Linked DNA regions of Arabidopsis thaliana. The protein of the gene in region 3 interacts with the protein of the main gene of each other region in a pairwise test. Each region holds a gene or a part of one and is shown on either strand. Other genes may lie near its edges. The genes, in order: IAA2, AT5G65910, MYB39 and AT1G43000.

Region 1 (3,982 bases), on a different chromosome or scaffold from region 3:
CAAATATTAACATAAAAGAACAAACAACTGTTGATTCAGTACATAAATTAATACATTAAATTGACCACAGAGACCAAAATAATCTAAAAATGATTTATGTATTTGGCTTAAGTTCAATATTGTTTTTTAGGCAAAACTTAATGTTCAATATATATTCATGGAATTAACTCCATAATAAACAGTAACTGAATTCTCTTGTACTTTCTTAAATGGTTTTCAGTAAAAAGGTTTAGTTTAACCAACAAATAACTTTAGCAATCATCTATATAAGCATAAAGCATCACATAGATCTAGTAGTTATGTTTCTATAATACATTTTCACTAAGACTAAAACATGCATGAACACACAAACAGGAAAAAACTATTCTCAAGAAGTTTGTTTCCCACCATGTTAAGTGATTCTAGAAATCTGTAAATGGTTAACCTTTAGTATTCATTCGTGCAATATTTAACAGACAAATGGTATTCATTCGTGCATCTCTCAGTTTGTGAGAAAATACATTGCATGAGTTCGTTATTAACTGGAAATAATACATAAAACTCTGACAATCAGAACCTCTAAATTATTTACTTATAAGAAGAGAGGCAACGTATCTTGCATCGCTTTTACTTATCTAATCTTTTGGTGATGGAAGGGGCAAGAACATAGAAGGAATCTTTATCTTAAAAGAAGAGAAAACAAATAATATCCAAAATTGGTAAATCCATTGAATAAAGCCTAACGTTAACATCAAATCGCATGCGGATTAGAAGCTAAATGCACATAGTTAAGCGTAATCTATGGGGAGAAATTAATTACCACTTTTTGGTTCATTCTTTTAAGTTTTATGATTCAATGAATACATAGCACGTGGAACCTCTCTCCCCCACAACCCATTTTGAAGGGAAATGAATAATTAAAAGAGACATACACATAAGAAAGCACATGGCTTTACCATTCCTCTATCAATTACCAACACATTTGACCCTTATCCACATGGGTCTTCGTCTCCTATTATAAAATCAAAATCTACACACAAAATGTTATAACATTTTCCAACTCACAATATACAAAATGCCACGCATAAATATGTCTTCGCAAGACAAATATGTAACGTTTAATATTCGATATTATCTGAGATTTAACCATAAAACTAATATTTCTTTATTAATCAAATTACATCTACGAGCAAAAATGATAAAATTCAACTTATGCACATTCAATAGTTCGTAACACATAAGAGTACTTGGAAACTCTAAATAATCTTCATTTTGGAATCAGGATTCAATAAAATAGTACTTTATTTGACATAAGTGTCCTTTTAACCATTTTTTACACCATACGTTTTTTCTTCTGAATCGAAATTTTTACATCATACTTTCAAAACATCTATTAATCTTTTAAGTTAAAAATTAATAAATCAATAGAAGTAAACTAAAAATAATAATCAACTTTCACATCAAATTTTAAGACAACACATTATATTTAAATATATATTAAGAATATCTATTATGCAACAAATGGATTAACAATCATTAGCACTTGATATTTTCTTTATAACCTGCACTATACACTTTCAAAAAGAGAAGAAGAAACCTTTAAGAAACAGTAAATAAATGTTATTATAATACACCTCTTTAGTCTTTACTTTATTTATATTTTCTCTGTTTGCTTTTATTCCGGGTCGGCCGATAGAATTCTCATCATTTCATTCATTTTTATATTCTTTCGTTATAATTATTATACATCCTTTGAAAGAAAAAGAAGAGGCAATAGAGATGGACGGCTAAGATGTTAACGTAAACAAAGTTGGCGGAGGGAAAAGAGGAGCGTGGAATAATTAAACAAAAGAGTCGTGTCCACATGGGCGGCCTCAAGCTTCGTGTCCCACTTTTGTCCCCTTGCCTCTTTCTTGCCTTTCATGCTTCCGACAACACTTCTCTCTCTTCCTTTAACCCTAACTTCGATGCTCCTTTATATATATCTCTCTCCCCTTTTCTCCAAAACTCATCAACCAGCTCACCAAGAACAAGAACAAGAAGAAGAAGAACAAGACAAGAAGAACAAAGTACCCAAGAAAACACACAAGAAGGAAACACAAAGATTGATATTGATCCAAAAGCAATGGCGTACGAGAAAGTCAACGAGCTTAACCTTAAGGACACAGAGCTATGTCTTGGATTACCCGGAAGAACAGAGAAGATCAAAGAAGAACAAGAGGTTTCTTGCGTTAAAAGTAACAACAAGCGTCTATTTGAGGAAACTCGTGATGAAGAAGAATCTACACCTCCTACCAAGTAAGTAGAAGAGATCTGAGTTTCAAATTGGCTTCTTTCAAATTATTGGCTCTTGAATAGTTTTACTAATCTTTCTTTCCTCAAATTTACAGAACTCAAATCGTTGGTTGGCCACCAGTGAGATCTTCCCGTAAGAACAACAACAGTGTGAGCTACGTGAAAGTGAGTATGGACGGAGCTCCTTACCTTCGCAAGATCGATCTCAAGACATACAAAAACTACCCCGAGCTTCTCAAAGCGTTAGAGAATATGTTCAAAGTCATGATTGGTGAATATTGTGAGAGAGAAGGATACAAAGGATCTGGATTTGTACCAACATACGAAGATAAAGATGGTGACTGGATGTTGGTTGGTGATGTTCCATGGGACATGTTCTCTTCTTCTTGTAAGAGACTCAGAATCATGAAGGGATCCGACGCTCCTGCTCTAGACTCTTCCTTATGATCCAGAGAAGCTGAGAATCTTTTGTCTAAAAAGGAGATGATGACTATGATCGATGAATGAAAAACCCTTTTTGGTTTGATTCGGATCGGAGTTTGACTAAAGTTGACCGTGAAAGACGAAACTTCGGGGTTTTGTCCGACGAGAGATCCATCTCTAGTGATGTTCTTTTTGTTTTTGTATTTAGATTTGAAGTTTGATGTAAAGATACATGAGATTTTATGTATAATACGGACACATACACAATCTATAGATGTATAATGTATTAAGTAGTTATGTCCTATAAGATCATCAGTTTTCTGTTCTTGATCACGAACATAATATTTTAAATTTCAGAAACTTATACACATTTGTTTAGCCAAGGTTATTTATTAACTTTTTTTTTTGTTTAAAGTTTAACCAAGGTTATTATTTACTTATTCAGCAAAACATTTACCACCACATGAGACAAATTTTCTATAATGCCTTCCCAAAACACATCCACAATTCTATAGATAGGCCTTGTCGATCAAAAGATTTCAAAAACAATTTTTCTTTTTGATGAATTGTAAATGACTCTGTCTCTTCAGCTTATTAGATGTTTTAGCTAAACTGCAAGAATTATTATGTAATAATTTTGTTATATTAAAAACAGAAATTAATATCTAACCTAAACAATTCAACCAATTGTAAAAAAATATTACATAATAATATAAGTCTGATAACATATGAAATTGAAAAACACAATTTAATATAATAAAACTGAGAAAATAATATTAGTTTTTCTAGGGTAAAGGTTATTAATATTACATAAAAACATAATAATATTAATAAAACACAATTTAAGATTATAGATTTTTAGACTACAAAAGGGCTCATGGGAAGTTCTCGAACCGGAACTGAACCAAAATACCGAACGCCAATGACTAGTTTTCAAGTATGTTTTTTTCATTATGTGAACCAAGTAATAAAAAATCATTTCTCTTCTAATAGGGTTCTTATGTGCATATGATCAAGGTTTTGGGATTATTTGGAAATCAAATATATAAAGAGTTGTTTTCTATAAATAAATAAAACTTCAGGAGTTTACAGCTTTTTATTTCCTTTAAGGGCTTAAACTATTACGAAATTATCAATTTAATCCTCAAATGTATTCTCTTTCCAATCGGACAAAGGACCTTTGCGCGCGCAATTTTATCCATTAGCAACAACGCCAGAAAAAAATCTCGTCAGAATTTTACAGAGAATCACGTTCGCCGGAGAAGTATATACCACCTTCGTCGCA
Region 2 (4,940 bases), on a different chromosome or scaffold from region 3:
AGAAAAGAAATTGCTCGATGTGAAACCTTTTGTGGTAAAACATTCTTGCTCTTTCAAATAAGTTTTACTACACTGAAGAAACAAAAGTTGAGAGATTTATTTAAAATGTTATTGCAGGAGAATTTGATATCTGAAAACTATGCATTGAAGGAGTCAGCAAAAGAAGCATACAAGACATACATTTCAGGATATGATTCTCACTCTATGAAAGATGTCTTTAATGTTCACCAACTCAATCTCACGGTAACCAAATCTGCAGCATACATATAACAATACGAAACGTCATGAAATCAGGAATACAATTTGTTTTTGTTTTCTGCAATTTAAACGTTAACCGAAGGTCTTTGTTTATGTGCAGGAGGTTGCGACTTCGTTTGGTTTCTCAGATCCTCCCAAAGTTGCTCTGAAGATAGATCGAGGAGGGTACAGAAGTAAGAGAGAACCGGTTAATAAGTTTAAGAGAGGTCGTGGTGGTGGTAGACCCGGCGGTAAAAGCAAGTTCGAGAGGTACTAAAAATACAGTTGCACAAACAACGTCATACTTAGTAGTATGGCACATGCCTTTTAACGAATGTTGTATCTTATTTTTGGATTCATTTACGATTGTGTTGTCTTAAGCTGTTTCCAGAGATATCAGACGAGATACCAGTTTTGTCCCCGTTACTTAGAAATATTGATCATTTTGTTTTGCGAATAAACTTGGTCTTATATATAAACATTGCAGTTTTTTTTACTACGGCTATATAGGTTTTGATAAAATGGAATATAAAAATTATTCACAACAAATTTCGGTAGCATCAGATATTTGCAAGACGTAGATTTAAATGTTATATATTGCCAAAAGAAACATTGGAGATCACATCACACTGCATCAACATCAAGCCAGTCGTTTGATTTTTTCTTCTCTTTTACCTCTTTTAGCTGAACCCAATCTGGTGATTTTTTGTCTGAAGAATCAGAACCAGAGTTAGTAAGGTTCTTGTAACTCACTTTCACGTCTCCTTCGTTATCGTCTTCTTCTTCTAGATCACTGAATGATACATCTTCTTCGTCTTCACCAAAAGGATGATTTGTGGTTGATCTTCCTCCAATGGCGCTAACTGATGAAGTCTCTTCATCATTCAACCAATCATCTGCATCGTCGTCGTCTTCATCATCCACTTGCACATTAATAAATCTAGATGAAGAAGCAGTGGATGTGCTTCTTTCTTCAATGACAGATTTGTCAACAATTTGTATCTCTTTGCTCTCAATAGGGTGCTTGTCTGTTTCAACGTCAGATGACTCGACTGGATTTACGATTTTAACAGCTGCTGTTTCTGGTGAAGGAGGCACAGTAAGAGGTTCCACAATGACAGTATTAGCTTCAGAACTCCCTGCTTCTACAGGTAATTTGCTTCGTTTCTGTAGTTCCTGAGATAACATTGATCTTGCTTCGAGTACCTTCATAAGCAAAGGCAAAAAAAATTAGTGACAGGAACAATAAATGATCTAACTTTATCGCAGGAAACCTGAAGTAGCACCACCTAGAAGCTTACAAATCTAGCAAACCTGATTGACATGCTACAACTCTTCACTTATGAGGATCACTGTTTTGGATTACCATATAACTTTCTAGAAGAGTATGATTAGCATCAGGCATAGGGTTACAACTATATACAATGTGAAAGGCATAAACTTGAAAACAAGGAAATAGGTAGACATTTGTAAGCAATGGAGTTGAGAATCCAAACTTACCTGAGGAGTGGAGAGAAGCAAGGCATGGTCTTTACTGAGTTTAGGATGCACAAGAACAAAGTAAATCCTCCAGAAGCAATTCTCAGTCATATATTCAGGGCAAAGCTCAATCCTCAAAGAAGCCAAGCTCGGTGCTAGCCTTTCTACAGCTAAAGCGTGCTCGTATTGAGCATCGGCCAATTCAAAGTCTGAAAATTGATTTAAAAACAGACAATTGAGAATAACTGAAACACCCAATACCCCAATCATGAAAGCATATAAACTGAAAACAAAATCAAACTTGAACTTCACTATTCACAGAAACAATTTCAGATATATAAGGAAAGATCTGAAACTAAAACTTACCATCAAAGCTATCGTCGTCATCAGGTAAAGGAAAATCCAACCAAGTCTCAGGATGCATCGCAAGATCCTTCACAAACGCAACTAATTCCTCTGTAACTCCGATTACGTCGTAATCTTTCGGATCCACATCTTCTGAACTCAATTGTAAGAAATTCGAAGCGATCTTTGTGAACTCAGACACAGGTAAGTTCCCAGATAGTTTCGAAATCCCAGTCCTGAATCTCCCACCAATCTCAGCGAAATCGTTCTTAATCCCAGCGATTAGATCCTCATCTTCCTCCGGATGATCGGGAGTTTGATTTCTCTCCTGAAGATCCGGAGATGAAGAAGGTTGCGAGAGGAACGAAGCTACACCCCAAAATTGGGTTCTCAAGGTCTTGGTAAGTTCGCTAATGTCTTCCTTAACGCCTCGTGGAGACTGTGAATCCGATACAGATTCCGACGGCTGTTGATTCAGATGCTTATCATCATCTTCATCTTCCTCATCGAGCTTGAGTGAGTTCGCTATGGATCTAGCTAACCAAGCCATATCTGAATCTCTCTCTCACACACACATACACACAAGTTGCGATCGTGATCTTTTTGTTACAGCAGAAGCAAATCAAACTTGAGAGATAGATAATGAAATCTCCGTCTAAATCAATATCTAATTTAAATATTGTAATCTTTATCTTACTTAATAGCTTAATCCAATTTAGAGCCAAAGACGACATTTTGTATTGACTGTCAAAATATTACTGGACCTGGATAATAGCCCATATAGTTCAACTAAGGCCCATCTTAAGATAGCTCCTATTCGGGAAATTATTTATATTTTATTTTTTCTAACTTGAGACAAATTGTTTTCCAGATTTGGTAACTGTGTTTAGATTTTATTTCCAGACAAGAGCTCTCACATCAGTGACATCACACTCACTGATACAATGTTTCCAAGAGATATGTTCAGATTCTCATAGCCAATTAAATAAAAAACAGAGATAAACAAACAGTGAACTGTTGAAACGATTCATAAGTCAAATCATCCTTTCTTTTCAATTGTTCATTCATTTACACAGTGCATACAAATCAGACCAATGCATGTTCAAAAAATAAGACTTTTATTCCCCTCCACAAATCTGAAACCCACCCATATCTGTTTTCTAATCCTACTGTTCTATCAAGAATCACTAAGGGTTATAAGAGTGTCAAATAAAACGATTCATAGATCAATAATTTCTCCAATTATTATGACTCACAAACAGCTAGTAACTTACAAGAGGCCAAAAAAATGATTCCTTTCTTCAATCTATTCTTCTACTGAATAATGAACCAACCACAACAAAAAGATTTATACAGTTTACTTCTACTTAACTATTATTATTCAAATAACATTGCAAAATAGAATTCAACACATCGAAACTCGTTTCTTACTCTCATACTCCTTGAGCTTCTTCATTTCTATATACATCAACAAGATGGGGCAGATCCGTTGTGTGATTTTGACCCGAAAGGTGAAAACTTGATCAGTCTTTTATTGGATAGTTCTTGTGAGTTTACATTTGGAGATAAACATTGAGTCTGAATAATGTAGACTACATAACTTCAATAGCTCAGCTGAACGTTGCTTCAAAGCTGGATCACATCCACTTTGTATCACAAGCAAAAGCTTTGCAGCCAAACCAACTTCAACAGCAAGAGATGAACATTCTTCAGAAGCTAATTTGCAAACTGACCAAAGAATCGATATCGCATAGTTTGTGCATTTCTCTGATACCTTCATCAGTAACCTAACGGTATGCGGAATCGTGTTAACCGAATCTTTCAAAGCAATTCTGCCTTCGCTTTCTAAACATAACGAATCCAACACGAAAAGAGCTGACTCTAAACACTCCACATCCAAACATGGCAAAACATCAACCAATTGAGGAACTGCACCAATCCTAACCAACAAGTTCCTAACTTGTTTATGAACAGAAACCGATTTGAGCAGCGTTAACGCAGGCGAAACGCCGTTTCTTCGTCTCCTATCTTTAACCAATCTCATTAATCCAACAAGCAAACTATGACTAGAAACAAGCTCTGCTCTAAAACCTTTCTCCTCCACCAACCTTCCAATCAATCTAGCACAATTGATCTTAGTTTCAATCGAACCATCATTCAACATATCAACCATCAACGAGACCCTAGCTGGTTGCATCAATCCAGCTTTGGAATCAGAGTCAAGCTCAAGATTAACAAGAATAGCTATAGCCTCAGATCCAACAGCGTGAGAAGTAAAAGGACTTAAAAGAGAAGAGATCACAAAGACTCCACCTTCATCAACAACAGTCTTCTTAGCAATAGCGTGAGCCATCACAACTTGCTTAAGCTCGCTTAAAGCATGAACCTTTGCTTTCCCTTTAGCCTTTCTCAACGTACCCAGAATCTCAATAGCACGTCCTTGCACATCTTCAGATCGTTTCTTCATCAAAACATACTTCTGTGAAAACCAAGTGTAGATCAATTGGTGAAGAGTCTTGTTAGGAGTGACCAAATCATCCCAAAGCTCTTGCATCGTCGTTGGGCAAGTACAATGCCCTATATTGAACCATTTGAGAATGTTGGACCTCTCGTAGGTTTGACCAGTACACAAGGTCACTGGATCTTGCATCGGCTCTAGAGAGATAGGACAGATGAAAACAGAGGGTATTTCAGGTAATTCCAGCTCAGAAATCATCTCCTTCAAATCCAATTTCTTCTTCTCATCGGTAACAACCACCAGAAATTTCCCATCTCCGCCGCCAAGAACACCGTCTTTAACCGCCGAGTGTAGATCTAAGATATGCCCATCAAACCCACCGTTCTTAGAAGGCTGAAACATTGGCATTTTAAAAACAAAG
Region 3 (4,434 bases):
ACAATGTCAAATAAATATAGCATAGGAATTTTATACTATATGGTGCTACTAATTACATGGAACCCTTAATATATACGACTGTTTAAATAGTCAACGTGATAAATAGAGAGTTGGTAAGTGTTTGGTTTTAATTTGACAATGTGAAACAAGCCTGAACATTGACCCTTTAAACCATAACAGTAATTTAACGGTAAAAAAATAGTAATTAAGTATGTAAACAAGATCTTCCGTGAGAGTGAAATTAAACCTCATTATTTAAATTATACTAGTAAACATTTTCTCCAACCGTAGGAAATTTCGTTTTATGTTTTTTTTCTAATTTGTCGTGATCCTTCTCATTCCTTTGAAGACAACAAGATTCTATTATGAAAGATTTTTTCAAAGATCCAATAGTATAATACAACGTAATATATAATACCAACTTTATAGTTACACCTTCTAATAAAATCCACTTACTCGTTTATGTGTTCCTCACGCTATCGACTTAATGTTTGGAACCCGCGAGAGAAGTTCTTTAATTAAATTAGTCAATCGAAAAAAGCTATCCATTTCCTTTATCAAAGTAAATCAATTCGAAAATCTCGTATTAACTTGATCATCCAAATCCATATGTATATTTTCGAATAATATAAAACAGAAATTGAGATAACCTATACTAAAGAGAGTTTCACGTAAAAAATTTATATTTTCACGTAACAAAAAATTACAAAACAATTAAACAAAAAACAAATGATAATAGCATAGGTAATTTTTTGTGACTTGAAATTCAGAACGTATGGTAGGCACAAACGACGGTTTGGTAACAATAAGGAGAATAATAATAATCTTCGTTTGAATTCAAATAGAGGAAGAAGAAGCGAAAGGGTAGGCTTTGATCAACCATGAGACATTGAAGCAGGTAGAGATAATTCTTTGAATGCGGTGGAAGCAATCACATAATGATAAATGCAAGATTCCAATTTTGATGAACTTTGCAATGAGAACATAATATTGCTTTTCAATTAAATATTAGTTAAATATACCCTTCAAGAAAAGTAGTTAACAAGTTTAATTTATAATCATGCATTTATGCGAAATTCTTATTTGTAGGTTTTAATCTAAATAGAGAAATATACACATATATAGGAAATATTCAAAAATGATCACATGCATGTTTAATTTTTGAAAAATGTGGCTTTCTTTTATAACATAATTTCAATAAGATTAGTTTGAATTGCAGATTATGAAATAGTATATAATTTGTGATTGTTTTACAAGTAAAAGAGCGTAAGAAATTTGGTCCCAAAAAAAAAAGATTTTAGTAGGGAAATATCAACATTTTATTCTAACATAGCTAGGGCAAATATTTTATACATCTAACCCACAATAACAAAATCCATTAATGCATTAACAATTATTCGTATTCTTTTATATAAAAATTATTTGTTTGAACATCATCCCCACGAATTACTCTTCGAAGTTCGAACGCCATGACACATATCATATTATCAGTACCTAATCTTGATTTTGTTATAACTATTTTGGTTATTTAACTGATTTATTGAATGACTCATATATTGTAGACTTATGACACACTATGAAAAATAATATTTACACCAAATTCTGACGAATGCATACACAACTTTACTTTAGTTATGTCATGACTGCTTTTCACATCTATATATACATACAAACCTAATCGTAGGGAGCGACGAAACGAAGATCATATCTTCAAAAACCTCTGATAAGTTTTGGTTCTTGATATAAACAAAATGGGAAGATCACCGTGTTGCGATCAAGACAAAGGCGTGAAGAAAGGACCGTGGCTGCCAGAAGAAGATGATAAGCTCACTGCTTATATAAACGAGAATGGTTATGGGAATTGGCGGTCGCTTCCTAAGCTCGCTGGACTTAACCGCTGTGGCAAGAGCTGTCGGCTCCGGTGGATGAATTATCTCCGGCCTGATATCCGGAGAGGCAAATTTTCCGATGGAGAAGAGAGTACTATCGTTAGACTCCATGCCCTCCTTGGCAACAAGTAAGACTATTTTTTTTTCGTTAAAGCTTTTATGCTATTTTGTTAGCACTAAATGATTTAGGTCTCGCTTGTTTCAGACGTAATTATGTGTTCCTGTTTACATGTTTTTTTCATAATTTTAAAATATAAACCATTTTCAGTTCTTTTAAAATTAATATAAAGTGCAAAAACAAATTTACGTATGGATACCATTGCATAGTTTATTATTGCTATTATAGAATTCACATCCTCAAGACTATAGTCTAAACTTTAGTTTATAATTCTCTAACCATACAAAAGGTTAAGTTTTCGTTGGTTCATTTTACTAACGTTTGAGTCGAATTTTTACCATACAGATGGTCGAAAATTGCGGGTCATCTTCCAGGAAGAACAGATAATGAAATTAAAAACTATTGGAACACTCATATGAGGAAGAAGTTATTGCAAATGGGGATTGATCCAGTGACGCACGAGCCAAGAACCAACGATCTTAGCCCTATCCTCGATGTTTCTCAAATGCTCGCGGCAGCAATCAACAATGGCCAATTTGGTAACAATAACCTCCTCAACAATAACACCGCTTTGGAAGATATTCTTAAACTCCAATTGATCCATAAAATGCTTCAAATCATAACCCCCAAAGCCATACCAAACATCAGTAGCTTCAAGACCAATTTACTGAATCCTAAACCAGAACCGGTAGTCAATAGCTTCAATACCAATTCAGTGAATCCTAAACCGGATCCCCCGGCTGGTCTTTTCATAAACCAAAGTGGAATCACTCCTGAGGCCGCCTCGGATTTCATTCCATCTTATGAAAATGTTTGGGATGGTTTTGAAGATAACCAGCTTCCTGGTTTGGTTACGGTTTCTCAAGAGAGTTTAAATACAGCAAAACCGGGTACCAGTACGACCACCAAGGTAAATGATCATATCAGAACCGGTATGATGCCGTGTTACTATGGTGATCAACTACTAGAAACCCCATCTACTGGTTCGGTATCGGTCTCTCCCGAGACAACCAGTTTGAACCATCCCAGTACAGCTCAACACTCATCCGGTTCAGATTTCCTAGAGGACTGGGAGAAGTTTCTTGATGATGAAACAAGTGATTCTTGCTGGAAAAGTTTCTTAGAGTAAGATCTATCTCCGCATTGATTAACATAGTATATGATTTATATTTATGGTTTATTAACAGAATTGTTTTATCTAATCTGCAGCTTAACGTCACCCACATCGTCACCTGTCCCATGGTAGAACTGGATTTTGTTCGGGTCGTATACTCATAGTTTTAAAGACAATACATACACAAAGATATTCGATTAATACTCTTAATTTTGTTTGTTATTAAATATTGATTTAAAGTTTGTATATTTTCTTGTAAAGGAATTCTTATTTGTAATTTGTTCTTATTTGGTTTGGTTGTTGTGTAAAGAAACACATTGTAATCACCATTCTATTATTGCCCATTTAATAACAATATTTTGGATAAATATCTACGAGCAGTCTAATTTATACAATCAAACAACTCTATGGAAACATAACTTGATTCACAAGTTTAATAAAAATTCACCTATTTGCCAATAAGGAAATATATTAAAATGTCAATCTCTCGATGTTTCTAACAGAAAGATTGACAAAAAATCAAAAAACAAACAGTCACCAAGAATGGAGGAAGAAGAGAAAAACCCTAGTTCGATCTACATAGTTGCCGATCTTCTAGAAGATATATTCCTTCGACTTCCCTTGAAATCCATTCTCATATCGAAAAGCGTCTCAAAACGATGGAGATCAATTCTTGAGTCGAAGACGTTCGTGGAGAGACGAATGAGTCTTCAAAAGAAGCGCAAAATCCTGGCTGCTTACAACTGCAAATGCGGCTGGGAGCCTAGGCTCCTCCCCGGGTCGTCGCAGTGCAAAGGGAACGAAGAGATCGTCTATCTGCACTGCAACGCCGCACAACCCTCGTTTACTTGCGACGGTTTGGTCTGCATTCTCGAACCACGTTGGATAGACGTTTTGAACCCCTGGACAAGGCAACTCCGGCGATACGGATTCGGATTTGGAACCATATTTGGAGTAGGTTCGGCTTTCTCTCCAAGACATTGGGCAATGGGATTTGGTAAAGATAAAGTTACCGGAAGCTATAAAGTAGTGAAGATGTGTTTAATATCTTTCAGTGAAATTTGTGCACGTGATCCTGAGGTGGAGTATAGTGTTCTTGATGTCGAAACTGGTGAATGGCGGATGTTGAGTCCACCTCCTTATAAGGTCTTTGAGGTAAGAAAATCGGAGTGTGCGAATGGATCGATCTACTGGTTACACAAACCTACTGAGAGGGCTTGGACAATACTAGCCTTGGATCTTCACAAAGAAGAGTTACATAACATTTCAGTTCCTGATATGAGTGTCACGCAAGAAACCTTCCAAATAGTGAA
Region 4 (4,020 bases), on a different chromosome or scaffold from region 3:
TATGTTTGTGTCCACCATATGAACCTACAAAGTCAATAAAAATGAAAATCCTTTGGCAAAATAAAAAATTAAATCGTTTTCTTTAAAAGGAGGTAAACAAGCAAAACATGATTTACCTTCCACAAAAGGAAATATATCTTTGCCCAAAAAATTATAAGATACTCTCACCAAACCCCAAAAACAATGTTGATGGCAAAGTATGACAAATCCGCACCACTACACTTTCTCCATTCTTTATTAAACCAAGCTTATTTTATACCATACTTTTCACATATCCCCTCCATAAATGCCAACTCACTCTCTCACTTTTTAAGCTAAAATGAACATTCAAAAGACCATGAAGGAATCTCCTATAAATATACAAATATGTATTTTTACATCTCCATGTTTTGTAAATGTGATGTGACATTTTAAAATTTTATTTTTCCAAATCATAAAAATAGATGATAGTGCTATAAAAAATAATTAAAGAGACAAAAGTGAGGTAAATAAGGCTGTTTAAAATCATATATTTATAACCCAATATCTATGAAAAAATCACACTTTTGTTCTGTACTCTTATAATCATTAAGCTTGCTACTATTTATGTAAGATGATTCCATTTACTCATTAGTCATTTACCAACACTTTTTGTTTTCTCTTTTCTGATCCTTCCCATATTCTATCTTATATCTTAACTCTTTCATAAAGCCTTTTAGAAAGGTGCTCGTTGAGGTATACCCTTTCTTCTACTCTTCATTGGGTAATTCCGGTGGCTTTCTATTGAAGGTGTCTCTGGAGATAACACACCCGCGGTTTCGCTGCGTTGGTCGTCAACCGCAATCGAGATCCCGTCGATCAAACGGCTACAAATCCCGGTATTGATGATCTTCGACGAGTCATCACTCTTTCCACTATGAAATAAAGTCAGGTTTGGATCCTCTCCATTCTTCACACCTTCAAGCTATTTTAGACCAATAAGAAACAATCAAGAAACCTATATAATCAAACTTGAGTTTGAAGAAAGACCACAACATTGCAGCATTTACCTTACAAGCAAGAGAACAGAACAGGAACGAATCGAGAAGGTTACGAGAACAGATCTGACATGTTTTGTTTAAGCTTTTACCAGTTCGACATTGAGGTCTCGCGTTTAAGAAGAAGATCTTAGCACTATTGATAACATAAGTCTGAATACAAGAGATATCAATATGTTTTTGAATCTCACTCACTCTCACCACATTATGATACGACGATCGTCGAATCTGTAACAACAACAAAAAAAAAACATAGAATTAGGTTCATTAAACAAACGTGTTCGACAAAATTCCTGAGAGATAGATGGGTAATGAAAAATTGAAAACCAAACCTGGATAACACGATGGGTTCTGTGATGAGCGAGACAAGAAGAACAAAAGGCATTGCCTGAACAATCCAAACAAAACAGATTACATTCACTTTTACTCGATTGTGAATGAATCGAACAAGTCACGAAGTAATCAGCTCGAAGCATTGGTGTTAGCCATGGCGGAGTCATTACGTCGTCGTTCTCCATTTTTACAATGGAACTCACCTGAAAATAACACAGACCCATGAATCAATTTCTATAAAATAACATCGATTGAAAAATTCTGAAAAAAACAGAGGAATAACCATTGTTTGGGTTTTGATCTGTTTGACACACGAAACTTAATCTGAGAAACAGAGAAAAAAACAGAGATGGTTACTGAGAAAATGGAGAATATAGCGGCCACAGGTTTGTGTGGGGGTTTACAGAGAGAAGACGAAGAAGAAGAAGAAGAAGAAGACGATGGAGAAATTTATAAGACACTGAAAAGGTCGGCCTTTTTTACTTTTTGTTACTTATTTTTATTTATATTTTCTTCCATATTGTTATAATAACTTTACATTTAGACTCTTTATTTATTTTATAATCTCAAAACCCCCTAGTTTTGTGAAAAAGAGCATTTTTTCTCATCAATTTTGCTTTGGTTTTATTTGGTTTGCTGTATTTAGATCTAGATTTTTATTTTGTTGTCATTTTATTTGGTAGATAATAAATTATTTGTTAAAATTAGTAAAATAAATATATTGACAACAGTTATCTTTTCTGACGCGTGTTAGATATAAGAAAAATAAAATTTATGTAAATAATGTGTTATTAATACCATGATTGACAAATGATTTACTAATTCTTATTGCTTGTGTGATTTTTTTTCATAGTACTCATGTTAATTACTTATCTTTTTATGTTATTATATATTATAATATTTTTACTTATAGGTCCTCTAGTTTTTTTATTTAACTAAAAGCCCCTGTTTTTCCAAAAAATGACTTTGATATAAAATAGCTATATAACATCAATTATATTTGGTAGATAATCCAACAAGAGTTAAAAGTGGTCAAATGATTTTAATGGAAATTATTATTTTTGACGCGTGTCAAAAAGAAAGTGATATTATATCAAATAATATAGTCAAACAAAATAGGAATATCTTCTTAAAACCGTTACGTGAAATCTATACTAAATTTAAAATAAATTTAAAAGAACTTGTGTGAGAAATGAACCACTATATGTACAAAATGTCATATATAGATTTTGATAATAAAATGTCATATATAAATTTTGATAATAAAAACCTAAAGTATAGTTAGGTAGTGATATTACTCATTTTATTTTTGTATAATACAAGCTAAATTTGGTTAAATATTTTTAAGAAAATTATTGCTTTTAACGCGTGTTAAAAAGAAATTTATACTATGTCAAATAATATATCATCAAATAAAATTTAAAATTAAGACATGTGAAATCAATACTAAAATTTAAAAAACGTGATGATAATTAGACTAGGACAATTACAACATTGCACAATTTATATAATTTGAGCTAGGCTAGAAAAAAGTGACTTTGAACTAGGTTTAAATCAAATTCACCTTGGTAGTAACAAAAGTAGAGTAAAACCAAGTAAAATAAATTCACGTTGAATTTAGTTTCCCTCGCTATCATGTTCTTCAAATTTTAAAGATGTTACTTAGGACGTTGGGGAAGTTATTTGAAGTTTGGTGAACAAGGAATTGTAGTACATGTGGTAAGTATTCCCGCTTACATACAAACAAAAAAGTAATATACAAAAGGAAATATATGCTTTACGTAGTTAAATAGCTTTGTTAGAGTCCTCTCTATTAGTTTAATTACAAAATTTGCAATCCTTATATTTCTTCATAGGTATTTAATTAGCATTATAAAAGAACTATATCATAGAAAATATACACTATTAACTTTCGATAAGTGACTTTATGAACCACGTCATTAGATCACAAGTCAGGTTAATACAATTGTCCTAAAATTATAATTAATGTAAATAATGTGTTACTAAAATTATAATTACTAATGCTATTATTGACAAGTTCGGTTGATAAGCAAGTCCAAAATCAAATCTCATCAATCAGACTTCTTGGGGACAAGAGATACGACCTCCAAATTTGGTTTTTGTCCAGAAGTTAAAACTAACATCATCTAGCTTTTTAATATTTCTATTGGTGTTTAAAACTTGTCTTCTATTCGTTTCTAATTGAAATTGCACTTTATCTACTTTTTTTAAAATATAATTTAACATTTTATTGAAAAATATATAATCATCAACTGCTTTTAATGTTAAACTACTTTTTAAGTACTTTTTGAAAAAGTGTAATTATTCACACAATCTTGAAATAATTTTCATCGTAAAACAATTTAATAGATGTTAATGTTGGAAATATATAAACATCAGGAATTTGAGGATGGATCTCTGTATACTCCTCATCCTCTGTATTATATTATTTAGATAGAGATTAATGATAATAAGCTACCAAACCATTAGCTAATTCACTATAGTAATATCTATTCCTATTTTAAGTTATGACTACAAAACATTAGCAAATAAACCTTAAATGAGTATGAAGAAAATAGTAAAATATATTTATTCTTTAAAATACATATAATAACAAAAATAAATTTAGAATTGATACAATTAAAGATAAATAATTAATAATAAATGTAAA

Evidence for each region.
Region 1: the proteins of MYB39 (region 3) and IAA2 interact in a two-hybrid assay, tested with the Arabidopsis thaliana proteins (one large-scale study listed by BioGRID).
Region 2: the proteins of MYB39 (region 3) and AT5G65910 interact in a two-hybrid assay, tested with the Arabidopsis thaliana proteins (one large-scale study listed by BioGRID).
Region 4: the proteins of MYB39 (region 3) and AT1G43000 interact in a two-hybrid assay, tested with the Arabidopsis thaliana proteins (one large-scale study listed by BioGRID).

The regions. Positions count from the first base shown.
Region 1 is NC_003074.8:8,179,808-8,183,789, reverse strand, and holds IAA2 (indole-3-acetic acid inducible 2), read left to right. Parts: upstream 1-1,694; 5' UTR 1,695-1,843; coding exon 1,844-2,277; intron 2,278-2,369; coding exon 2,370-2,721; 3' UTR 2,722-3,144; downstream 3,145-3,982. UniProt on the Arabidopsis thaliana protein: Aux/IAA proteins are short-lived transcriptional factors that function as repressors of early auxin response genes at low auxin concentrations.
Region 2 is NC_003076.8:26,360,731-26,365,670, forward strand, and holds AT5G65910 (BSD domain-containing protein), read right to left. Parts: upstream 2,759-4,940; 5' UTR 2,612-2,758; coding exon 2,083-2,611; intron 1,926-2,082; coding exon 1,738-1,925; intron 1,444-1,737; coding exon 862-1,443; 3' UTR 690-861; downstream 1-689. Other genes in the region: AT5G65900 (DEA(D/H)-box RNA helicase family protein), read left to right, coding at 1-34, 118-243, 359-514; AT5G65920 (ARM repeat superfamily protein), read right to left, coding at 3,593-4,927.
Region 3 is NC_003075.7:9,880,686-9,885,119, reverse strand, and holds MYB39 (myb domain protein 39), read left to right. Parts: upstream 1-1,687; 5' UTR 1,688-1,751; coding exon 1,752-2,017; intron 2,018-2,352; coding exon 2,353-3,132; coding exon of another isoform or gene 3,133-3,136; exon of another isoform or gene 3,137-3,216; coding exon 3,217-3,253; 3' UTR 3,254-3,521; downstream 3,522-4,434. Other genes in the region: AT4G17780 (F-box and associated interaction domains-containing protein), read left to right, coding at 3,665-4,434.
Region 4 is NC_003070.9:16,138,330-16,142,349, reverse strand, and holds AT1G43000 (PLATZ transcription factor family protein), read right to left. Parts: upstream 1,825-4,020; 5' UTR 1,636-1,824; coding exon 1,633-1,635; intron 1,553-1,632; coding exon 1,349-1,552; intron 1,245-1,348; coding exon 1,029-1,244; intron 944-1,028; coding exon 695-943; 3' UTR 558-694; downstream 1-557.